Linked DNA regions of Macaca fascicularis. The protein of the gene in region 6 purifies or fractionates together with the protein of the main gene of each other region. This does not show direct contact. Links are inferred from orthologs where the notes say so. Each region holds a gene or a part of one and is shown on either strand. Other genes may lie near its edges.

What was found.
Region 1: the proteins of CHCHD4 (region 6) and COA7 purify together in Homo sapiens (co-immunoprecipitation; 3 studies listed by BioGRID and IntAct, with this or other methods). This does not show direct contact. The link is inferred for Macaca fascicularis from reciprocal best matches to the Homo sapiens genes CHCHD4 and COA7.
Region 2: the proteins of CHCHD4 (region 6) and TOR1AIP1 purify together in Homo sapiens (co-immunoprecipitation; 3 studies listed by BioGRID and IntAct, with this or other methods). This does not show direct contact. The link is inferred for Macaca fascicularis from reciprocal best matches to the Homo sapiens genes CHCHD4 and TOR1AIP1.
Region 3: the proteins of CHCHD4 (region 6) and GFER purify together in Homo sapiens (co-immunoprecipitation; 3 studies listed by BioGRID and IntAct, with this or other methods). This does not show direct contact. The link is inferred for Macaca fascicularis from reciprocal best matches to the Homo sapiens genes CHCHD4 and GFER.
Region 4: the proteins of CHCHD4 (region 6) and SSNA1 purify together in Homo sapiens (co-immunoprecipitation; 3 studies listed by BioGRID and IntAct, with this or other methods). This does not show direct contact. The link is inferred for Macaca fascicularis from reciprocal best matches to the Homo sapiens genes CHCHD4 and SSNA1.
Region 5: the proteins of CHCHD4 (region 6) and TIMM10 purify together in Homo sapiens (co-immunoprecipitation; 4 studies listed by BioGRID and IntAct, with this or other methods). This does not show direct contact. The link is inferred for Macaca fascicularis from reciprocal best matches to the Homo sapiens genes CHCHD4 and TIMM10.

Annotation. Positions count from the first base shown.
Region 1 is NC_088375.1:182,019,716-182,023,690, forward strand, and holds the start of COA7 (cytochrome c oxidase assembly factor 7), read left to right. Parts: upstream 1-1,175; 5' UTR 1,176-1,201; coding exon 1,202-1,307; intron 1,308-3,975. UniProt on the Homo sapiens protein: Required for assembly of mitochondrial respiratory chain complex I and complex IV.
Region 2 is NC_088375.1:37,408,432-37,411,931, forward strand, and holds the end of TOR1AIP1 (torsin-1A-interacting protein 1), read left to right. Parts: intron 1-148; coding exon 149-939; 3' UTR 940-3,071; downstream 3,072-3,500. UniProt on the Homo sapiens protein: Required for nuclear membrane integrity. Induces TOR1A and TOR1B ATPase activity and is required for their location on the nuclear membrane. Binds to A- and B-type lamins. Possible role in membrane attachment and assembly of the nuclear lamina.
Region 3 is NC_088394.1:2,744,625-2,748,638, reverse strand, and holds the start of GFER (FAD-linked sulfhydryl oxidase ALR), read right to left. Parts: upstream 2,801-4,014; 5' UTR 2,787-2,800; coding exon 2,529-2,786; exon of another isoform or gene 2,480-2,528; intron 2,260-2,479; coding exon 2,063-2,259; intron 1,412-2,062; coding exon of another isoform or gene 1,399-1,411; exon of another isoform or gene 1,356-1,398; intron 1,144-1,355; coding exon 981-1,143; 3' UTR 1-980.
Region 4 is NC_088389.1:2,127,392-2,130,811, reverse strand, and holds SSNA1 (microtubule nucleation factor SSNA1), read left to right. Parts: upstream 1-1,232; 5' UTR 1,233-1,305; coding exon 1,306-1,357; intron 1,358-1,646; coding exon 1,647-1,846; intron 1,847-2,371; coding exon 2,372-2,479; 3' UTR 2,480-2,920; downstream 2,921-3,420. Other genes in the region: ANAPC2 (anaphase-promoting complex subunit 2), read right to left, coding at 61-683, 996-1,112. UniProt on the Homo sapiens protein: Microtubule-binding protein which stabilizes dynamic microtubules by slowing growth and shrinkage at both plus and minus ends and serves as a sensor of microtubule damage, protecting microtubules from the microtubule-severing enzyme SPAST.
Region 5 is NC_088388.1:16,082,153-16,086,398, forward strand, and holds TIMM10 (mitochondrial import inner membrane translocase subunit Tim10), read left to right. Parts: upstream 1-1,446; 5' UTR 1,447-1,555; intron 1,556-1,919; 5' UTR 1,920-2,024; coding exon 2,025-2,095; intron 2,096-3,610; coding exon 3,611-3,812; 3' UTR 3,813-4,049; downstream 4,050-4,246.
Region 6 is NC_088376.1:152,384,210-152,388,326, reverse strand, and holds the start of CHCHD4 (mitochondrial intermembrane space import and assembly protein 40), read left to right. Parts: upstream 1-1,317; 5' UTR 1,318-1,319; coding exon 1,320-1,380; intron 1,381-4,117.

The DNA.
Region 1 (3,975 bases), on a different chromosome or scaffold from region 6:
TAGGTAAACTTCCTCTCCTCCCTGTCTCCTTGACATGTTCCTTTTCTATCTCATTCATTTTTTTTTTTTTTTAAGACGGAGTTTTGCTCTTGTCGCCCAGGATGGAATGCAATGGTGCAATTTCGGCTCACATGCAACCTCCACCTCCCAGGTTAAAGCAATTCTCCTGCCTTAGCCTCCCAAAGAGCTAAGATTACAGGTGTGCGCCCTGTAATTCTGTATTTTTAGTAGAGACCCCTGCTAATTTTGCATTTTTAGTAGAAACAGAGTTTCACTAGATTGGCCAGGCTGGTCTCGAACTCTTGACCTCAGGTGATCCACCCGCCTCGGCCTCCCAAAGTGCTGGGATTACAGGCGTGAACCACCGCGCCCGGCCTCATTCATTTATTCATAAAAAAAAAAATTGATTGCATACCAACTCCCTCACTGTGTGACCTTGGATAAATTAATTTCTCTGTACTTTAGTTTTCTTATCTGTAGAACGGGGATAATAATAATACCTTCCCCACAGTATCACTGTGAGTGTAAGTTTACAGTGACATGATATATAATGAGAATTAAATGAGTTAATTCATATAAAGCTCTTAGAGCCTGGAACAAAGTTCAGCACTGTTTGAGTACTAGGTGTTATAACAGTGACGTTGCTGCACCCTTCACTGCTACTGTGTTCCAGTTAACCTCTCCTACAGCCATTTATTGCTTAGGTAATTCGTGTTGGTGGCCAAGACAGGTCTGGGAAGAAGAGAGATGAATCAGACTGCCCACTGCACTTTGTCCAGCTACACCTGGCACATACAGAAGGTCCTCTAAATGTTTGCTGAATGGATAAGCGAATGTCTTCCAATTGAACTCCAAGTTCTTTGAAGGCAGGGACTACATTCCTAGCTGTCATAACCCTAGAACAATGCACCTGGTGAGGCACACTGTAGGCGCTGAGGGATTATACATGGATAAATGACTGCAGGTGGAAAACCACTAAGGCTACAAAGCGAGCATTGATAAGGTGCTGCAGAGAGACCGCTCCCAGTTTCAGGAAGGCGGTTAGTCTTGGAAGCGTGGCTGCCCAACGGCGCGAGGGCTGCTGGGAAAGGCAGACTCGCCTGGCTCTCCCGGGGATTCCGGGAGAGTGCCGCGGGCTGCGTCAGCCCCACGCCCCGCCCCCTCCGCCGGCTCACGTGACCGTCTCTGGGCAGCGCAAACCATGGCCGGCTTGGTGGACTTCCAGGATGAGGAGCAGGTTAAGTCCTTTTTGGAGAACATGGAGGTGGAGTGCAACTACCACTGCTACCACGAGAAGGACCCGGACGGTGAGCGCCTCCAGCGCAGCCCGGCGACGCGTCGGGGAGAGGCGTGCCGGGAGAGGTCTGGTCTGCGACCTCTGAGAGGCTGGAGAAGGAATCACGTGGCTGGCGGGGGACGGGGGTCTGTGGATCGCGGTGACTGCGTGTGTTGGGAAGGGCGATGTGTCCCGGGAAGACCGAGCCTGGAGGCCGGGGCGGGTAGGAAGAGACGTGCTTTTGGATTAGGGACTGGGGATCTATCGGTGAACAGATGAAATTCGCTGCCCTCGTGGAGCTTCCAAGCTAGTGCGGGGAGTCGGGCAATAAGCCTCAGGTAATTCATGAAATCGTGTTCGAAAGCAGTAAGTACCTGCCGGGCGCGGTGGTTCACGCCTGTAATCCCAGCACTTTGGGAGGCCGAGGCGGGTGGATCACGAGGTCAGGAGACGAGACCATCCTGGCTAACACGGTGAAACCCTGTCTCTACTAAAAATACAAAAAATTAGCCAGGCGTGGTGGCAGGCGCCTGTAGTCCCAGCTACTCGGGAGGCTGAGGCAGGAGAATGGCGTGAACCCGGAAGGTGGAGCTTGCAGTGAGCGGAGATCGCGCCACTGCACTCCAGCCTGGGCGACAGAGCGAGACTCTGTCTCAATAAATAAATAAATAAATAAATAAATAAATAAATAAATAAAATAGTAAGTGCCGTGGAAAAAGGACTGGGTGAAGGGTATCAGGAGGGCAGAAGGGCAGTTTTAAATTGAGTGATCAGGGAAGATCACTGAGAAAGTGGCAATTGAATAAAGGCTTGAAGAAGGTAAGGGAGTGAACCATGCAGATCTTACCGTAGGTAACAGCTGGCAAAGAGGCCCTGAGGCACAAATGTGTCCCGTGTGTTGTGTGAACACTGAATTGACTTGAGAGTATAGGTGGATGGTGATGACCAGAGGGGTCCACCCAGAGCAGCCAATAGCTTTCGGTGGTTTTCTTCTTCCTGCTTTATTTTTATTTTTTATATTTTCTTTCTTTTTTGAGATAGTATCTCACTATGTTGTCCAGGCTGGTCGCAACTCCTGGGCTCAAGTGATCCTCCCGTTTTTTTTTTTGTTTTGTTTTTTCGAGACTGAGTCTCACGCTGTCACCCAGGTTGGAGTACAGTGCCTCCATCTCAGCTCACTGCAACCTCTGCCTCCTAGGTTAAAGCAATTCTCCTGCCTCAGCCGCCTGAGTAGCTGGAATTACAGGCTCCCACCACCACGCCCAGCTAATTTTTGTATTTTAGTAGAGACAGGGTTTCACCATGTTAGCCAGGCTGGTCTCAAACTCCTGACCTCAAGCAATCCATGTTCCTTGGCCTCCCAAAGTGCTGGGATTACAGGTGTGAGCCACTGTGCCCAGGCTTTTTTTTTTTTTTTCTTTCAAATAAAGGTCTGGTGTGGCACAAGCCCGTCATCCCAGTTCTCTGGGAGGCTGAGGTGAGGCAGGAGGATCGCATGAGGCCAGGATTTCAAGACCAGCCTGGGCAACATGGTGAAACCCTGTCTCTACTAAAAAAAAAAAAAAAAAAAAAAAAGAAAGAAAAAAGTGACACTGGCCCTACCTTCTAATAGCTTGCAGTTTAGTTTGCAGAAATGACATAGCTATTCCTTGAAGCTAATCCATAACATAGACCATAACGTAACCATATACATATCATAACATAGTCATGAAACAGAGTTGCTCTGCAGTATGATGGCTTAAAAAGAACCTGGGGGCCGGGCGCGGTGGCTCACGCCTGTAATCCCAGCACTTTGGGAGGCCGAGACCGGTGGATCACAAGGTCAGGAGATCGAGACCATCCTGGCTAACACTGTGAAACCCCGTCTCTACTAAAAATAAAAAAAACTAGCCGGGCGTGGTGGCGGTGCCTGTAGTCCCAGCTACTCAAGAGGCTGAGGCAGGAGAATGGCGTGAACCCGGGAGGCAGAGCTTGCAGTGAGCTGAGATCCGGCCACTGCACTCCAGCCTGGGCGACAGAGCAAGACTCCGTCTCAAAAAAAAAAAAAAAAAAAAAAGAACCTGGGGTTGAGCCGAGCACGGTGGCTCATGCCTGTAATCCCAGCACTTTGGGAGGCCGAGGTGGGCAGATCACTTGAGGTCAGGAGTTCAAGACCAGCCTGACCAATATGATGAAACTCTGTCTCTACTAAAAATATAATAATTAGCCAGATGTGGTGGCATGTGCCTGTAATCCTGGCTACTGGGTAGGCTGAGACAGGAGAACTGCTTGAACCCGGGAGGCGGAGGTTGCAGTGAGCCGAGATCACAGCATTGCACTCCGGCCTGGGCAACAAGAGCAAAATAACGTCTCAAAAAAAAACAAAAACAAAAACAAAAAAAGAACCCGGCGTTGTTCTTTGAGAGCTGGTCCATGTCCTAAGTGTAGAAAGAACTTAGAGGAATTGGGGTCACTAAGGAACAGGGTGGTTAGGGAAGACTTTGAAGGGAGGTCTGGAGGGCTGGGCAAGTGTTGATTAAATGGAGGAGAGGGTGGGAGAAGAAAGTGCTGTCTTTTGGAAGGTTGAAGTCAGGATGTAGTACATTTGAAGCGGGAGTCTGGGCCACAGTATGTCGGGGCTTGAATGCCAGAGTAAGGAATATAGACTTTGCTCTGTAGGCAATGGAGAGCAAAACATGTCAGACAAGCAAGTTATTGGA
Region 2 (3,500 bases), on a different chromosome or scaffold from region 6:
ATTATTTTATTAAGAAAATTTTCAGCTTTCTTCTTTAAAGTTCTTTCTCTTTTACCTAATGTTTACAAAGATTGATACTGATTTTAAAAGTCACTTGCCTTGAATCTAAGAAAATGGTATTTATATCTGTCATTTCTTTTTTTCTAAGTAGAAATGACTGGACAACCCCAAAATGCATCTTTTGGCAAGAGGAGCTGCTGGTGGCTACTTCCTCTGATAGCTGCTCTTGCCTCTGGGAGTCTTTGGTTCTTTAGTACTCCTGAGGTAGAAACCACTGCTGTTCAAGAGTTCCAGAACCAGATGAATCAACTTAAGAATAAGTATCAAGGTCAAGATGAGAAGCTGTGGAAAAGGAGCCAAATATTCCTGGAAAAACATCTTAATAGCTCCCATCCTCGGTCTCAGCCTGCTATCTTGCTGCTCACTGCTGCCCGAGATGCTGAAGAAGCGCTTAGGTGTCTGAGTGAACAAATTGCTGATGCCTATTCTTCTTTTCGTAGTGTCCGTGCCATCCGGATTGATGGGACAGATAAAGCTACTCAAGACAGTGATACTGTCAAACTAGAGGTAGACCAAGAACTGAGCAATGGATTTAAGAACGGCCAGAATGCAGCTGTGGTACACCGCTTTGAGTCATTGCCCGCAGGCTCTACTTTGATCTTCTACAAATATTGTGACCATGAAAACGCAGCCTTCAAAGATGTAGCCCTAGTCCTGACTGTCTTATTGGAGGAAGAGACACTTGGAACCAGTCTAGGCCTAAAGGAAGTTGAAGAAAAAGTAAGAGATTTCCTTAAAGTCAAGTTCACCAATTCTAACACACCCAACTCCTACAATCATATGGACCCAGACAAACTGAATGGCCTCTGGAGCCGCATTTCTCACTTAGTTCTGCCTGTGCAACCTGAAAATGCCTTGAAAAGGGGCATCTGCTTATAAGAAGTGAGAGAAGAAAAATCATGTCCCAAGTTCTGAGAATTGTTCACATTTTCTAACCAGAGACAGAATTCAGAGCTCTTTTTGAAAGAACTGGTTTCTTTTTAAAGGAAATTAAGTTCTTACATAAACACAGAACATAAAAATCATTTGTCAACCTAATTATCTAGGATATGAGAGAATCATTTCAGTTTCCATTGAGAGCTGTGTTAAAGGTATCTTAGGAGTGCAGATTATATGCAGTTCCTTAGAGAATCTATTTTGATTCTGGGCTGAATTATTACAGTTATGTATGACCAGTGAAAGGGATTTGTCTCCTTATGAACCTTCCTGATTTTTTAACTTAGATTTCTCACTAAGTTTCTTGAGTTATTAGTAAGATTGCTCCCTAAATGTAACCATGGATTTTCCCATTATGTTCCCTTTTATACCATGTAGGTGTGAGTTCCTTAGCTTCTGCCTATAGGAACATAAGTTATGAAAGGTCACGTAGGTGTGTGTTTGGAATTTTTTTTTCTTTTGTTTGTTGGAAGGTGGAAAGAACAAGGCAAGGAAGAAATTAATGGGGAAGCTGAAGGGAGGAAATGTTATAGTAATCCACTGAGGTGTAGGTCAAACATAGGTATATGAACTGTTAATCTTAGTGGATTCCATTGGGATTTGTTTTTTATATCTCCTTTTTCCTTCCTTGAAGAAAAATTCTTGGCCCTCCCAAGGATTCTTCATGTATATTGCAAGATTTAATACATTTGTTCACTTGACTCTTAAGAGTAGGTCAGGTTGGCCGGGCGCGGTGGCTCACGCCTGTAATCCCAGCACTTTGGGAGGCCGAGGCGGGCGGATCACAAGGTCAGGAGATCGAGACCACGGTGAAACCCCGTCTCTACTAAAAATACAAAAAATTAGCCGGGTGCGGTTGTGGGCGCCTGTAGTCCCAGCTACTCGGGAGGCTGAGGCAGGAGAATGGCGTGAACCCAGGAGGCGGAGCTTGCAGTGAGCCGAGATCGCACCACTGCACTCCAGCCTGGGCGACAGAGAGAGACTCCGTCTCAAAAAAAAAAAAAAAAAGAGTAGGTCAGGCCGAGGCAGGTGGATCACCTGAGGTCAGGAGTTCGAGACCAGTCTGGTCAACATGGTGAAACCCTGTCTCTACTAAAAATACAAGAATTAGCCGGGCATGGTGGCACATGCCTGTAATCCCAGCTACTTGGGAGGCTGAGGCAGGAGAATTCGCTTGAACCCGGGAGGCAAAGGTTGCAGTAAGCCGAGACCAGGCTTATTGCCCTCCAGCCTGGGCAACAAAAACAAAACTCTGTCTCAAAAAGAAAAAAAAAAAAAGACTAGGTCAATTCGTAACAGTTTATTTTGGACACATCCTGAAGCTTTTGTTTTGAATTAAGAAATAGTTTCAGGAATTGACAAACCATTTGTCAACCTGCTGTCCTGGGCTATTGAAGAAGATTTCGTTTTCTGTGCATCCAGTTGTTGCAGTCCAGGTCCTCTAGTACAACACCATAGCAAATATAAAGATTTACTATGCACGTGATACATTTTATGGAGTGCCTCAAGCCAAGATAGTGAACTTACATGAAGAGTGTGAAATGTATTTCTTTACTACTATAGTAGTATAGTTATAACTTTGCATCTATAATTGAGCTTTCTCATCTGTCAACTGCTATGGTTTTCTTAAAATGTTACAATTCTATATCTATCCACCTTGTTTTTTTATTGTCCACAAACCATTAAATGTAAATATTGTTTTTAGAGAGAGTCAGTCATTGGCTTTGTCATTTACCCTTTGAGAGTTCCACAAGTGGTAGTAGAGTGGTCTAACTTCTTTCCTCTAGTACTACCAGTATTCATAAATGTATGCCCCTTACTATAATTTGTTCCTCTTAGAAGTCAGATCATCTGATTTATAGAGGATTATGAAAACCAGAGTTTTTGAAAAGGCTTATTTTATACATACATATTATATAGAGAAATAACTTTTTATTAAATGTTTCACTGACCCAAGTAATTTAAAAGTAATATGTTACCTGTGTCTTTCAGGAAAAATAATTATAGCAGCTGATCTGTAAATGACTTTAAAAGCTATTTTAGTAATTTAAATAAATTTACTTTCTTGGTTTGTACTCTGTGTTATATATTTAATGATTTATCATATTTAAAAAAAGAAATCCAAGTCTTTTCCTTGAACAATTTTAGCAACCTTGGCTAGGAGAAACAAAAACCAAAGAATTGGAGCCATTTGCAAGTACATTGGTTAGAAGTGAGATAGCCATAACTTTCCATTTTATCTCGGCACTTAGGGTTTGTAAAAATATAGTTAATTTAGGTATTCCTGACTTGGCAAAAGAATCTCCACAGCAGCTTTTCTTTCTTTTTTTTTTTTTAAGTAGACATGGGATCTCGCTATATTGCCCAGGCTGTTTTTGAACTCTTGGCCTCAAGCAGTCCTCCTGCCTAAGCCTCCTAAGTAGCTAGGATTACAGGTGTGAGTCACAACCCCTGGCTTCTTAACCTTTTCTTCATCACCTCCCTAAAGAGCTTTTTTAGATTTT
Region 3 (4,014 bases), on a different chromosome or scaffold from region 6:
TCCATGCCATCCCCTGGCTCCAAACCCACCAGGAACTTCCTGTCAGGGGAGCTGGGAGTAGAAGCCATGGCTCTGCTGGGGCCTTGGAGACCTCGTGCCGTCTGGCCACCCTGTACTCCTGGGGCCCCTGCATCAGCTACTCTGGCCTCCCCGCCCCAACCAATCAGCATCCTTGCTGTTCCCAGCTCATTCTCATGTAGGGATCTCTCTCCTCCTGAGGAACGAGGACCCCAGCAGGAAATGCAGCTGGGCACACAGGGATGGAACAAGCCCTGCCCACTGATATAAGCCCCAGCAGAAAACACACTGAAGCCAGGTCCTCAGTCACTTCAACGTTTCATTTGGGCTTCAAACTCTGAGGAAGCGGGCCCCACGAATCCCCTGTGGACAGGCATGGCACAACGCTGGCAGGCATGTGCCAGGCAGGGAGAGGGCAGGATGGCTGGTGGACCCTCAGAAAGACCCTGCCTGAGCTTTCCCTGTAGGGACTGAGCGGAGTGGAGAACTGAGCCCCCTAAAGTGAGCAGCACAGAGCCACGGGGGGCAGGGGCATGCCTGGCTGCATAGTGGGAAGGCAAAGGCCTGGCCTCCAGGAACAGGCACAGGGACGCCCAGCCAGGCCTGCTGTCTTCCTGTGTGAGGAGCGAGGCACCAGGGTATGCGGTGGGCAGGAAGCCACATCCTGAATGCCAAGGGGCAGCCCAGGCTGCTCCTGCCTCCCTCACCTGCAGTTCAGCTGCAGCTCCTTGGGGCCTCCACTGAGGAGGAGGCCAGTGGGTGCCTGCTGTGTGCACCTCCACTTCTGCTCCAAACCTAACAGGGGCAGGGCAGGTCCCCACGGGCAGTGTCCTGGGGACCACCCAACTGAGACACAACAGGCTCTGGCTCTGATGCACTTTAATGAGTGCCCTGCCCCTGTCCAACCAGGCCACTCCATAGGCGCCTGGCTCGCTGTCCCATGGGCTCTGGCTGACCACCCTCTAGTCACAGGAGCCATCCTTCCAGCCGTCGCGCCAGCGCTCATCCACTTTTGAGCAGTCGAAGTCAGGCTTGCCCAGCTTGCGGTTCACTTCATTGTGCAGGTGGCACAGCCACTGCGTGAAGCCTGCCCGAGTGCGGGTGTCTGGCTGGTTCCTGCACAGCCTGCATAGGGAGAGCATGTAAAGAATGGGAGGACGCAGCGGCTCCACTGCCCCTGCCAGTTCCCTGTCTGCTCCCAAGGAAAGACAACTGGGGCACTGCTGTGAGCTACACCTGGGAGTGCCCTTATGCTCCAAGGGACAGGAATTCCCAGAACAGGGCTGACCCTGCAGCTCCCGGGTGTGATGAACTCCCAGGGTTGCTCAAACACCCACCTGGAGAGCTTGGCAAACTCCAACGAGGCCTCAAGGCAAGACATCACAGCACAGACCTGGCAAATTTATAAGCTTCTAACACCCAGGAAGCGGCATCCAGCGTCTCTGGCCTCAGGCAGAGTGTGGCCTGGGTGGGGCTGGGCACAGCCTTGTAACTGAAAACTGGACTTGTTTCTTAGCACCTGAGGGAGGCCCTGGTGCCTCAGTTCAGCAAGAGACTTAATTCTAACTGCCCAGGCTTACAGCAACAATGGCAACTCTGCCCTAGACATCTGGTCTAGAAACACCCGCAAGGGCCAGTGCTGGCTCTTGGATGCCTCAGTGAGGAAGAGGTGGCTCTTGGGGGCAAAAGCAGTGGATTTCCAAGATTTTAAAACCAGCAGTCCTGCTCTAGAAGTCAGGCAAAGTGGAGCCCTCCCTAACTTGGGGGGAGCCGTCTTCAGTGCCAGACAAGGCAGGGAAGCCCTTCCTGGAGTCCTGTGGCTGTGGCAGGAGCAGTATTCAGCAGCAGATCCCAACAGTTTGGCTTTTGAGACAAGACGAGGAGGCTCAGATGGCCCCAGGCCTCACCTGTTGGAGGCCCCTGCTCCTCAGCAAACTTCTGCCACCTCTGCATCCGTTTCTCTATGTTCCCCGCTATTACGTCAGCCAGGAGCCCCAGGCCCAGGCTGCAGTGCAAAGCTCTGCTGCGTGCAAACACATCTTACCTTTCCCTTAGGTCTTCAGCACACTCCTCACAGGGGTAAAACTTAGAAAATAAATGTATGAAGTGGGCCATGTCTTGCTGCTGTTCTGGGGTGGGCAGGTCGGGGTAGTAGGCGGCCAGGGTGTGGAGAACAGCCCAGCTGTGGCGGCCCAGTTCCTCGCGATCCGGCGGGCAGTCCTCCCTAAACTTGGTGTCCCGCTGCGGAAGCAGGCCAACCAAGAGTGAGTTCATTCTCCGAACAGAAGCGCCCAAAGCTCCCCCTTCTACGGCCCAGCCGGTGGCCCACTGGACTCCGGCCAAAGCCCTGCAGACGATCCAACCCACGCGCGGATGAAGGCTGTAAGGCCGGGCTTACCCGGGGGCAAGGTTCAGGGACAGGCAACCCCGGGGAGCTCTGCCGGGGCACCTGGGCGGGGGCAGGGGCAGGGGCTGCGCGGGGCTGGGAGAAGTCGGGCAGGGATCTGCACCTTCTGCTGCGTCCGCATCCACGTCTTGAAGTCCACGCAGGCCCGGCACGGCCGCCTCCGGGAGGCGTCCACGGCGACAGGAGACTCGGAGGTCGGCGCCTGGGCTGGCGTCGGGGCCGAGGTGGCCGCGTCTCTCCGCCCCGCGCCGCGGCCCCGCGCGTCGGTCGCCAGGTCGTCCATCACCTCGGAGCGCGCGCCTCCCGGCAGGAAGAAGAGATTCCGGCCGTGGAAGCTGCCCCGCTCGCCGGGCGCCGCCATGTTGCCCGCGCAAGGCCTGCCGGGCCAGCTCGGCCTCCAGATGAGCCTCCAGGTCAGCTTCCAGGCCAGCGCTCAGCTACAGTAGCCGGAGGCGCGCGCCGTGCTCGCGGGGGCCGGGCCCGAGCTGGGGCTTGGGGCGGAGTTGGGGGCGGGGGCCGGCGCGCGGGCCCGTGTGGAGGCGGAGCCAGAGGCCGCGGGGCGGACCGGGGCGGGGCCGGGCCCGGGGCCAGGGGCAGGGACGGAGCTGGAGGGCCGGAGCCTGCTGGCACCCCGGGGCCTCGATCCGCGGCGCACGCCGTGGTTGCGCCGTCCGTGGCGGCGCTCTCGCTTCCTCCAGTAGAAGAGCAGTGTGTGGCGGAAGGTGCGCAGCGGAAGGTGCGCCGCGGGCGCGCTGTGGACCTGGGCTGACACTCAGGCAAAGTCCGTGTTGCGGCCCGCGACGCCCCCATCGCTCCGCTCTGAGTGTCCTGCGTGCCTGCGGCCAGGCTCTGTGCCCTCCGCTGAGGGGCGCGTCCCACCGGCTGGCTGCCCAGCGCCTTCTCAACGCGGGGCGGGCGTGACCGCACAGATTGCGGCGCGCGCTAGGGTTCTGGGCTGGTGTCACCGCCCTGGCGCCATGGCAACGGGCGCCTGGCAACGCAGGGCGGGGCGCGGCCGCAGAGGGCTGGCGCGTGCCTTGGGCTCCCCGGCGCCCCCCGCCAGCTGCCGCGGACCCTAGAACCTGGGGGGAGGGGTCGGGCTCCCAGTTGGAGCGGCCTCTGCGATTCCTCTGCCTCCTTGCGTTCATTTATCCATTCCGCTATTATTTGTGCAGTGACTGCTCTGTTCCAAGCGCTGTTCCAGGTGCTGGGCGGAGCAGGGAACACAGCTCTGTTCCCTGACCTCCTCTGTTCATAATTCAGTGGTCAAGATAGGAAAAAAAAACAAGGACTCACACTCATAAATGTTCACGTACAAACTGGTGGGTCCATGCAAGGGTGTGGTAAATCTGGAAGGCCTCCTTGAGACCTCCTCCTATCTGAAGGATGAGGAATCAGCTGAGGAGCGCCTTCGAGACCAAGCCCAAGGTGGCAGGGTCTTGGCATTTTGCAGGAACAAAAAGGCCAGTGGGACGCTAGGGAGGGTTGTAAGGTGGGAGGGGAGATCCAGGCACGGGCAGGGACCCACCAAGACTTAGTCAGCAGCTGCGGGGATTGGGAGTTTATTATGAGGGTAGGGGGAAGATGCT
Region 4 (3,420 bases), on a different chromosome or scaffold from region 6:
CTGGACCCAGGGGAGCAACCAGTAGGAGCGAGAGCACGGCCATCAGGACAGACTACTCACAAGACCTGGCTGAGCTGATGGAACTGCTCCAGAGCCTGGCGACACCAGCACTGTTGCTTGTCACTGCTGCACCCTGCGCACAGCGGGCTCTGCAGGAGCCGGTAGTACCGGCGACGGGCATACCGGCTGTCCAGCTCCCCCTCCAGTTCCGGGTCTGTGCCCCCTTCCCCCTTCCTCTTACTCTGCATATAGACTCTCAAGAAGCACCCATACAGACGCTGGATCATCTCTTGGAAGGTTCTGGGGGTACTAAAGAACAAGACTCCGCGCAACATAGTGTGGACTTTTTCTCGCAGCCCCTGAGCACCAGTGCCCATCAGCAAGCCCAGGCGAGTCCATTTCTCCAGCAGCTCTAGGCTACGCAGGTAGGGATCCAGGCGGCTCTCCAGCAGGCCAAAAGCGTCAAGGAGCAGCAGAAGGCACTGGGGCTCATCCGTAGAGTTCTCGCATTGGGAGATGGCATTCCAGAACTCAGGGGAGATGTTGGCCTGCAGATCGTTCTGCAGCACCTCTACGAACCACTCCTCCAGGACCGAGTGCAGGCCGTGGCCCCTCAGAACCTCCACCGCCGCCCGGAGCTCCTCTTCCTTTGGCGGGACTGCACCGCTGGTCCGGGAAGACACCTGGAGCGCAGAAAACCGTGAAGCGAGGGGAACACAACATAGAGGTGGGGAGAGGCGGGGAAGGGAAGAAGCTGAGGGGTAGGCTGCAAAAACTCCGCTGCCCCCTGTCCGTGGTGTCCGGACGTTGGGCCGAAACTAGGGAAGGGCTGCCAGCGGAGCTGAACGAAATGAAGTGGAATGGCGGTGGAAAGCGGCAGGACAGGGCAGAGGCGGATGACGGACAGAGCTGTATGAACCCGAAGGTGGCCGCCCCAAAGTGCATAGGGTCCCGGAAACTCCGCGCGGGGCCGCCGCTCTCTTCCCAGGCCTCACCAGCCCCAGCGCAGCTGGCGGCACCAGGCCGGTGCTCACGGTATTCCAGGCCACTAACAACTCCTGTCCGGGCCGGGAGTCGCTGTCCCCCTCCGCCACCACAACTGCCGCCGCCATCTGCAGCCACCGGCTCCGAGATCCCCTCGGCACGGCGCAAAGCGATGACGCAAGTCTGCACGCGCAGCCATGACGCGCACAAGGCGCTCAGCGATGACGCGTAGTTCGGCGCGCCGTCAGGGAGTCGTGCGCAGGCGCGGACAGCGCTGGTTCCGCGTCGGTTGGGGTGGCGGGGCCCCGGGCGGCGTAGACCATGACCCAGCAGGGCGCGGCGCTGCAGAACTACAACAACGAGCTGGTCAAGTGTGAGCGGCGCAGCCGGGACGGGGAGGTCGGGAGGGCCGCAGGGCCGGGTTCCCGGCTCGCAGCGGGGTGCCCCTGGACCCGCCTAGTTGCGGGCATCGCGCAGCTGAGCAGAGCCCTCCGTGCCGGGGGCTGGGTGTCCGTGGCCCCGAGCCCTCGTTGGCTCGCAGGCCCCGCGCCGGGTGCTCGGGGGTGGTGCCTGACTCTGGCTTCCTCGGGTGGAAGGAGGCCCGCCCTCCGCCGCCGCGCTCCTGCCCTGGGCCCACAGCCCCGCCCCTCCTGGCCCCCCAGGCATAGAGGAGCTGTGCCAGAAGCGGGAAGAGCTGTGCCGGCAGATCCAGGAGGAGGAGGACGAGAAGCAGCGGCTGCAGAATGAGGTGAGGCAGCTGACGGAGAAGCTGGCCCGCGTCAACGAGAACCTGGCACGCAAGATTGCCTCTCGCAACGAGTTCGACCGGACCATCGCGGAGACGGAGGCCGCCTACCTCAAGGTGGAGCTCGGGAGGCCAGGCGGAGCATCAGGGGATAGCCGCGGCAGGGGTGTAGCCGCGGCAGGGCGTCAGGACCGTCTGGGGCTCCCAGCTGTGGGCAGTCTGTGCCTCGCTGACATGTCGGGCAGGAGCAGCGTGGCCAGGCCCATTGAGGAACCCAGGCTGCTGCGGGAGTGACCGTGGGGCTGTCTGGGGGACCTGGGGCATCCTGGGTCCTGGTCTTCATCCGGTTCTCGCTAGCCATGTGGTTCTTTCTGCTTAGAGTGTGAAGAGCCACGTCTTGGGCCAGTGCTAACCCAGCCTGGCTTTGAGGGTGGGGAGGAAGTGTTCTGGGTCAGATTCAGGAGGGAAGAGGGCCCTGTTACCCCGTCTGCCAGTCCCCTTGGGCTTCCGCCTTCCCCCGCACAGGATCCCTTGGCTACAGCACCCACAGCCAGGTCCCAGAACCTGAGTGTGAGGACAGCTGGGGCTTAGGAACTTCCCAGCAGGTGAACAGTAACAACTTCCTCACTTCTCTGGCCCCAGATTCTGGAGAGCTCCCAGACTTTGCTCAGCGTCCTCAAGAGGGAAGCTGGGAACCTGACCAAGGCTACAGCCTCAGACCAGAAAAGTAGCGGTGGCAGGGACAGCTGACCAGACCACGGGCAGGGCCTGCCTCTGTGCGCCCCTCACCTCAGCCCCGACAAGTCTGTCCTCAGAGCGTCTTTGTTCTTCACAGCAGCAGCTGCCTTCCCTCACTGTCCCCGGTGCCGAGAGGGGCGGCTGCCAGCCTCTACTGGCATCATTGACAAGCCAGGGCACAGCCCACCCAGGGGCTTTGTGCTCACACGGGCTGTGGGGATGGTGGGTTCCAGGTCAGCTCTGCAAAGGGCCTGTCTCTGTGGCACCCACACTCCTGCCCTGCTGGGGAGGCCCTGGTTGTCTGTGCACCATGGGGGCCCCCTCAGCTTGTCCCTCCTCAGCCAGCAGAGGCCCAGGGCAGGGGACAGGGGTTCTCCTTCACCCCAGAACCCAAACCTCAGGGCTCACCCCTGTGGCCTGTGATTATCAATAAAGATTATCTTTGTAAAGGTCCGTGCCAGCCTGCTGCTTGCCCGTGTCAACAGTGTGGGGCTGCCAGACACCTGCAGAGCCAGAGCCTGAGGCTCCCCCTTGGGAAAGGAGGGAGGAGGCGTCTGGAGTGGTCTCCCTATGACTGCCCAACTAGCCTCAGGGACACCGCTGAGGGTGCCCACCCCGCCCAGGCCAGCGCCACCCTCGGCCCTCCCCAGCAGGGCCGCTGGTCCTCTTCCCCTGACTGGCCCACAGCTCACCCTCCTCTCAGCTCTGCTCGCTCGTCCTGTTCTCTGCCACACCCTGGTGTCCAGCATAGGACCCAGCCCAGAGAGACAGCTAGGGATGCCAAGCATATCCAGCAGCTGCCTCAGACTCAGGTCTCTCTCAGCAAGGACTGGGGGGGCTTCACACCCCCTACCCCCACCAGTTCCTCCTTGCAAGTCCTGCTTGGCCTGATGACACCACTGCTGCCACCAGGCCCTGCTGCCCCTTTCCCTGGCCGCACGCCAAGCACTGGC
Region 5 (4,246 bases), on a different chromosome or scaffold from region 6:
GAATGGATAAATGAATTGTGGCATGCTCATACAATCAAACACTAGACAGCAATAAAACAGAAGGAATAACAGATGCACACAACAATATGGAGGAAACCTTACAGGTACATTGAGCTAAAGACGTCAGGCACAAAATAGAAAATAATGTGTAATTCCATTTACATGAAGTTCAAGAACAAGGAAAACGAATTGATGGTGATAGAGGTCAGAATAGTGGTTAACTTCAAGAGGGAGTATTGATGGGGAAGAAACACAAGATAACTTTTTGGGGTGCAGGAAGTATTTTATATCTTGATCTGGGTGGTGGTTATACAAATGTATATATACACATATATATTTAATTAAGCTTGAGATTCGTGTATTTTATGCACTTTATGAATATTATACCTCAATCTTTAAAAATCAGGGCACAAGGTTTGACAAAGATGAGTCTTCAAAGCAGAAAGGTCGATTGTTTAAAATCAGGATGGTCTTGGACAATTAGGGAAGCATATGATGACCACACATATAAAATGTCTAGCCCACCTTTTCCAATGAGCAATGTGCCCTTGCGTCATCAATTTACATCTTGTAAATTTATTTTACTAGGAAATTGTGTGACAAATCAAGGGACTGAGTGTTGTTTCCTTCTTTTTAGTGGGGAATGAGTGAATGGTGCAGTTTGAAGAACACATTAAGTCTTGAAAGTTGAAAAGTTCACCAGTACCCTCCTTCTCCCTCACCCATGATTAGCCTCGGTGGCAGCCGAAATTGCTTTTATTAATCTCTTTGTGGCTCAGGACCTCTGACTGTTGAAGAAAACATATTTTACACGTCTTGTCTTTCTACGAGCAGGAAGCCTATCTCGCTTATCGTTGCAACACCAGAAGGGGCTTAGTGTGACCTACACACAGTAGTAATCGCACAACGTCCCATGGAGCACTGCTTCTCAAATTTGGCTGTACATACGAATCACCTGGGGAATTTTAAATTGTATTGATGCCTGGGTCCTACTCCCAGAGATTCTGATTTAATTGAAATGAGGTGAGTCCTGGGCACTGGGACGTTTAAAAACGTTCCAGGGATTTTAACGCGAAACAAAAACAGAATCGCTGTTTGGGGGCGTTCTTCCTTCTCCACGCCTGATTTACGCTCAGGAGTCGGCTGTCCGGAACTGGGATGAGATTCACTGATATCTGTCACCACGCCTCTTCCTACAGAACCAATAAACTGAAGCGGCTCTGTGACATCCCAAGGGACTTGAATTGTAAGCGGGCTGCAGACGCTCTGCACCCCGCCCAAGCCTCTATGGTACTTTGGCGTCCCCTCTAGCACTGGCAAGTCGCCTTCCTCTTCGCCCGGCGCCGGCCGCTCCCTCTCTAGGATCGCCGAGTTCCCGGCGCCGTCTCGTTGGTATTTAGTTCCGGAAGCGAGTTTGAATCAAAGGAGAGGCGGGACTTCCCTCCCGGAAGTAACCCACGTGCTTCCGCTGGAGCCTTCTGGAGAGGCGGGTAACGTTATAGTTTTTGTCAGAAGTTGGGGTCTCCGTGAGCATTGCGATCCGTCCCAGGCAGTGGTGAGTGACCCATGACCTCTGAATTCAATGTGGCTCTGATTATGGCGTCGCCATTTCAGAGGCGCAGCCTTTAGGCTGCGTCCCGGTCGCCTGTGTTCAGCGTACGATCTCATTCCCAGGGCCCTGGAGGTTCAGGCTTATGGGTTAGAGCGTTCTGCCTCGGTCCTCGATCTTCTGAATAGAGGTGACCTCCAGGGACTGGGGCATCAGAGATCCGGGGCTCGATTTCCAGGCTCGCCATGGACGTCCTGTGCGACCTTGGGCGAGGCCTCAGTTTCCACATCCGTGAAATGGGGTGGTTAATCTTACTGAGGTTAGTGGCCCGTGGTGGTCTGGCGCCCTGTGAGTCCTCTGTATCCTCTAGCCCCAAGGGGTAGGAGAGTGAACGGCGGCGGTGGGTGCTGATGGTGATGTCTGCTCCCAGGATTAGGAGGCCAGAAGGAGATACCTTCCACGGTGCTAGGCTGAGATGGATCCTCTCAGGGCCCAACAGCTGGCTGCGGAGCTGGAGGTGGAGATGATGGCCGATATGTACAACAGGTAAAGAGAACTATGTTCTACCCTGTCTTGGAAAATAAGTCTTGGTCACCCATATCGAAGGTGAATGACTTACAACAAATTCCTTCCTGAATGTAGGGGAGCCTGAGGCCCATGCTTACCCTCCCCATACGCACCTCCAAGGTTGATCCTAATGTAGACGCAGTCACTAGAATGAGTTGGGCATTTAGATGGGGATGGAACTGGCAATGCAGGAGCCAAGCAGGAAGAGAAACTCCAATCCAGGCTCTGGTTAGGTTCCAAGAAAAGCTGAGTATTTGCCTCTTGATAAATAGCACATAGCCAGCCCATTTAGTAGTTAACATTTTAAAACCCTTTATTCTGTGTCAGGCTCTTGTTAATCTTCAAAATAATCCAGTGGGTTAATTTTATTAGTCCCATCTTAAAATGAGGAAATTGATGCTGCTAGAGGTTAAGTAACTTCCTTAGGGTCCGCAGCTGGTGGGTAACAATGCCAGAACTAGCACCTCAGTCTGGTTCTGCAACTAGTGCTCATAACCATTTGGCACATTTGGGAACAAATCCTGGCTCCACCAATCACCAGCAGTATACTTGGACATGTTACTTGCACTGTTTGACAATTGGTTTCCTCATTATGAAAAAGACATAATGATACCTACCTCATAGGGCATCATAAATATTAAATCTAAAAATATATGAAAGTCCTTAGCCTCAAGCCCAACACTTAGTAACAGTGAAATGTCTGCTATTTTTATTGGCTTAAGCTCTCTTGATTGGTTTATCCTGACGACTATAAATTAGAAAGATTGTTAAGTGTAGACTGTGAGGTCAGATGACCTGGGTTCATATCTCAGCTCTATGTGATTCTTAGAAAATTACTGAGCCTCGGCCGGGCGCGGTGGCTCAAGCCTGTAATCCCAGCACTTTGGGAGGCCGAGGCGGGTGGATCACGAGGTCAGGAGATCGAGACCATCCTGGCTAACACGGTGAAACCCCGTCTCTACTAAAAATACAAAAAGAAATTAGCTGGGCGTGGTGGCGGGCGCCTGTAGTCCCAGCTACTTGGGAGGCTGAGGCAGGAGAATGGCGTGAACCCGGGAGGCGGAGCTTGCAGTGAGCCGAGATCGCGCCACTGCACTCCAGTCTGGGCGACAGAGCGAGACTCCGTCTCAAAAAAAAAAAAAAAAAAAAAAATTACTGAGCCTCTGTTTGCCTTAATTTTCTCGTCTGTAAAATGGGGATAAGTATCTCTTGGGGTAATTGTAAGCATTGCGTAACAGAATGCAGGTAAAGCACTTAGCATGATGCCTGGCACATAGCCAGTCCTTAACAAATTGTTTCTACTTAATTAGTCATATACATGGGCTCAGGCAAGTTTCCTACTTGCAAGGACCTTCCAGTGGTTGAGGTGTAAACTGAGGATTTACACTGCTTTCTTGGGGAAGGTGACATCAATATAGCAGGGCTGGAATGGTCGAGGGTTCCTGGGATGTCACAGGATGCTGCTGACATGACCTTGCCCCTCCCTCCCTCCAGAATGACCAGTGCCTGCCACCGGAAGTGTGTACCTCCTCACTACAAGGAAGCAGAGCTCTCCAAGGGCGAGTCTGTGTGCCTGGACCGATGTGTCTCTAAGTACTTGGACATCCATGAGCGAATGGGCAAAAAGTTGACAGAGTTGTCTATGCAGGATGAAGAGCTGATGAAGAGGGTGCAGCAGAGCTCTGGGCCCGCGTGAGGTCCGTGTCAGCATACACCCTGGGGTACACCCCACCCCTTCCCACTTTAATAAAAGTGCTCCCTGTTGGGTGTCATCTGTGAGGACTGCCAGGCCTAAGCTCTCTGTAGCGAGTCTTCAAGATCCTGGAGTGGTAGCGCTGTCCCCTGGTGAAGGAGTATTTGTCACACTGGAATGTGACTGTGTGTATGTATGTATGTATGTATATATATATTAAAACAAGTTTGTTGACACCTACTATGTGCAAAGCAGTGTGCGTGGCATTTGAGAGTAAACAGACACAGCCCCTACCAGCAGAGGGAGACTAATGTAGTGTTTAAGAGTAGGACAGGCCAGGCACAGTGGCTCACGCCTGTAATCCCAGCACTTTGGGAGGCTGAAGTGGGTGGATCACTTGAGGTCAGGAGTTCAAGACCACCTGGCCAACATGGCAA
Region 6 (4,117 bases):
ATTTTTGAGCCTTTGGGTATAATGAGGCTGTGCTGATAAACAAAACCCTCCTTCTCTTTGAGGATTTACAGGAGGCAGTTTTCTCTGGAAAGGGAGGCTAGGTCCATCTGCCTTCAAAACATGGAGCCCTTATCTTTTCCTGGTTCAAAGATCTCTCTTAGGAGATGAGTGAGAATTGAAAGCACTCACTTATAGGCCTTCCTTAGTATTTATCTTATCCATACCACTGTCCCCCTAAGAAGTCCCTAACATTTTTTTTTTTTTTTTTTGCCCACTGATCCTTTATGCTTCCCATAGGATTTTTTAAAAAATGATCCCAAACTCCTTACCGTATCAGAGCTTATGTGATCTGGCCCTGTCTGCCTTTCCAGCCTGGTCTCTTCCCACCTTTTTGTTGCCCAGCCTCTAACCTCTTCGCTATACCCTTGGTTTGGTATATCCTGCCTTCACCTCTTCCATGGCTGACTCCTCATCCTTTAAAATTTAGCCTCCTGACCCTTTGTGTCTTTCACATCCTGAACTCTCTGAAATTACCTTTTTTATTTTTTGCCATCTTCCTGCCTGTCTTCTCCCACTAAGCTGAGAGCATCAGATGGGCTGTGGAATCCCCAGCATCTGGCACAGGGCCTGGTGTACAATGGGTGCCCAAATCTTTATTGAATCATGCGTGTACCTGCCCTCTGTCCTGAGTGAATCACTTGCCTGTGCAAGTTTATTTCAGGGGTCCACCTGCTACCCAGCCTTCAGGTTAAACTCCTTGGTTTGGCATTCGAGGGCTCTCATCCTGGCTCCCTGGCCTTGGGCTAGCCACACTTCTGTGTGTCAGCACCATAGTGTTTCTTTCTTAGTTTCCTCTTTCTAATGCAGAGCCTGCCCACTTGTGTTTAGTCAACATTTATAAAGCACATGTGATGTGCCAGCCATTGGGCATATAGTGGTGAGCAATGTGACACATTCTCTGCCTTCCTGGCATGGTGGAAGAGATTGCCATTAAAACATCACCAGACCAATGCATGATTACAGACTGTCATAAGTGACATGAAGGGAAAGCCCAGCATGCTATGATCATTTAGTGAACGGCTCTGTGCGGTCTGAGAAGGCTTCCTGAGGCTTCAGAGATCCTTTTAAATGCCACTTTTCTTAAGAAAACCTTTTGCAGTCTTCAATGTGTGTGAGCGAACGCTACTTAAAACCCTCCTTTTGCACTCCAGGCTTTGCCCAGGATGGTCCCTTCTGGAATGTCTATTCCCTCCTTCCCTCCCTGAAGTTCTTTGTCAGGGACAAAGGTAGGATCCCTCCCCTTCCGTCTTCTCCACTGGATGCCTGTGTCGTATTCATCTGTGACCACCAGGTACTACCACAGAGCTGGAGCTAAGGAAGGTTTGTTGAGCTAAACTTCTAACACTTGCATTCTTCTTACACTCTGTCTGAAAGCTATTTGTGTGTTCTTCACAGATACTTGATTCTGTACGCGGGAGTTATATCTTTCAAAGGGGTTAGATTCTAAACATGAAAGTCCTCAGCAGTCAGATTTATCAAACTCTTAGAAACCCCTTACTTTACTCACTCAAAGTACACCACAGGCACCACTCCCTCTGGCTTTAGATCTCTTTCTTGGGTTGAGTGTCAGAAAGTAGTGGTTGGAATTGTATCACAGGTGTATTGAATCAGCTTAGCCAAAAATGAAAGAAGACAAGTCCGTAGTGCAGGTTGCCATTCTCAAACATGATCCTGGTGAGTCAGCATCCATGGGAGACAAGAAACTGCTTCCTCTGCAGGACACACGGGCATTCCTTCTGGGGTGGATATGCTGAGAGATTCTTGCCTGTAAAGATCTTCCCCTTTCATGGGGGAAATCAAACTACTCATCCAAGGGATTTTTTGGTCTTGCTCACTTAATGGTGATAACCATTCTGTCTTCCTGCTTTCTGCTGGGACTGGGTGACAGAGCAGGAGTAGCGTCATCTCGGACAAACACTGGCACTTTAAGTTCCAGCTCCCTTTCTAGCCTCATGCATTTCAAGGAAATCACTTCTAACTACAAGCAGCCAGGAAGAGCAGACAGTAAAACACAGATAAGACACCTCAGTCATAGAGGGAGGTGGGGGAAAGTCTCTTGGGTAACTGCCAAACTTCACCCTCATACAGTGGACCCCAGTAAAACTGTGGGCCTTAATAAGAACATTCCTTTCCCTTCAGGTGCACTAAGATAGGGAAGCTAAAAGCAGTCCTGGGGGGGATATGCCTGCAGCTGCAGAAAGATGTGTGGAAACAGACATACAACTCTGCCTCCCAGATGAGCACAATAAAGAGACACAGAAGCAGTCCAAGCCTCTGATAAACTCTCTCACCCTGAATCCTTAAAAACTCTTAGTCTGTAAGAGAATGTGGCTCTGACCTAACTCAGCCAGCAGCCCACCTCAGGTTTGTTTAAAATAAACCTGTCCCTGTTGACTGAAAAGCCACCGTTCGTGTTTCTCTCCTCTTTCTTTAATTCTTACACTAGGGTCTTCATGCCGTAATCCAGAGTTGTTTCTCCATTCACTTTTTTCAACAAATATTGAACACCCACTTTGTCATTGGCACTATTCTGGGCTTTCAGGATACTGCAATGAACAGAATAGACAAAAATCGCTGCCTCTGAGGAGCTGACATTCCAGTGGGGGCATCAAGTGGTAAACATACATAGTATGTTGGGTGAAGAAAAGCACTTTGGGGAAAGATAAAAAAGCAGGATAAGGGAGATGGGCAGTGGTCAGGGACGGTGGCATGTGAGCAGGAAGTGAAAGCCGGGAGAAATCGCTGTGAGGGTACCTGAGGGAAGGGAAAGTGCTCCTGGAGGACAGAATACCCTGTGCAAAAGCCAGAGGTAGGCATGTGCTCAGCATGTTCAAGTAAAAGAGGTCAGCATGGCTGGAGTGGAGGGAATGATGGTGGGAGATGGGGTCCAAGAGGTGAGAGATGCAGCTCTTTCTGGATATATTTGAAGATCGAGCCATTCTAATATGCTGATGGAGATGTGAGAGAAAGACGGGTTGGGGTGGCTCTACCAAAAGTAAAACTAAACAGCTGAGGGTGGAAGGTGTTTTGGTATCCGACTGCTCAGTCAGTTCTGTTCTCAGCCCCACCCTGAAGTCCTGTTCACAGAGTAACCCCTCGGGCCTCCAGTTCCCCACTCTGACCAAGGTTCTGGGGTGGGGACTGAATTGATTCTGGGGGACCTCCTCCTTGTGCACTTTGGGTTCAGCTTTCTTCACTGGTTAAGTCAGAGAGCACTCGACCATCAGCTCTCCCATTTCCAAGATATTATTGACATCTCTGAGCCTGTGATTGTCTCTTTTCCTGGCCACGTACCCTTTAAAACTTACTGTTGAGTGGGATTCTAGCTAACAGCAGAAACACATTTCACCTCCCCAACCATGTGAGGTAGGTCAGTGAAGCTGGTGGTAAGGCCTGATTTCTGAGGCCCAGAGGGTACCTGAACTCACACAGTGGGAAGTGCTTAAGTCCAGCTTTGAACTCCAGTTCTCAGACTCTCTGTGATATTGAAGCCACTGTGAGCCAGAAGGTTTAACATAGTTATCCACCTCCTTCAGAACATGCATATTCAACTGCTTTTAAAGCTTATCTTAGAAATAAAAACACAAGCACTTTTAATTTTATTTTTCTGGAGAAATTGCTGAGAAATGTCATAAGAACTACTTGTCTAGCTGATTGTCCCACTGGTTGGCATCTTATGACTAGTCTGACCAGTTCTTTCTTTCACACTTAGATTTGTTAGGAATAGGTAAGCCTTGTCCTTGCATCGGTTCTTGAATTGAGTTTTAAATGTTCCAGAAAGCAGAGGCCCTCCAGGACAGGCATGCAATGGACAGTTTGCAGGAGACACACTCTGGATCTTTCAGACCAGAGTTCCTGTTCTGCCTTCATTTACTGCATGTCTTTTGGTCCGTTTCTCAGCTCCTGTGGTTTCTGTAAAATGGAGATAAAGTAATACCCACCAGTGAACTCACAGATATAATAAAACACATTGCATGGGACAAAAATGTATAAAAGATGCAGCTATTACTGTTCTACCTTCAATCCAGTGTGACTGTGCTGCAAGGGAAAATGTCCA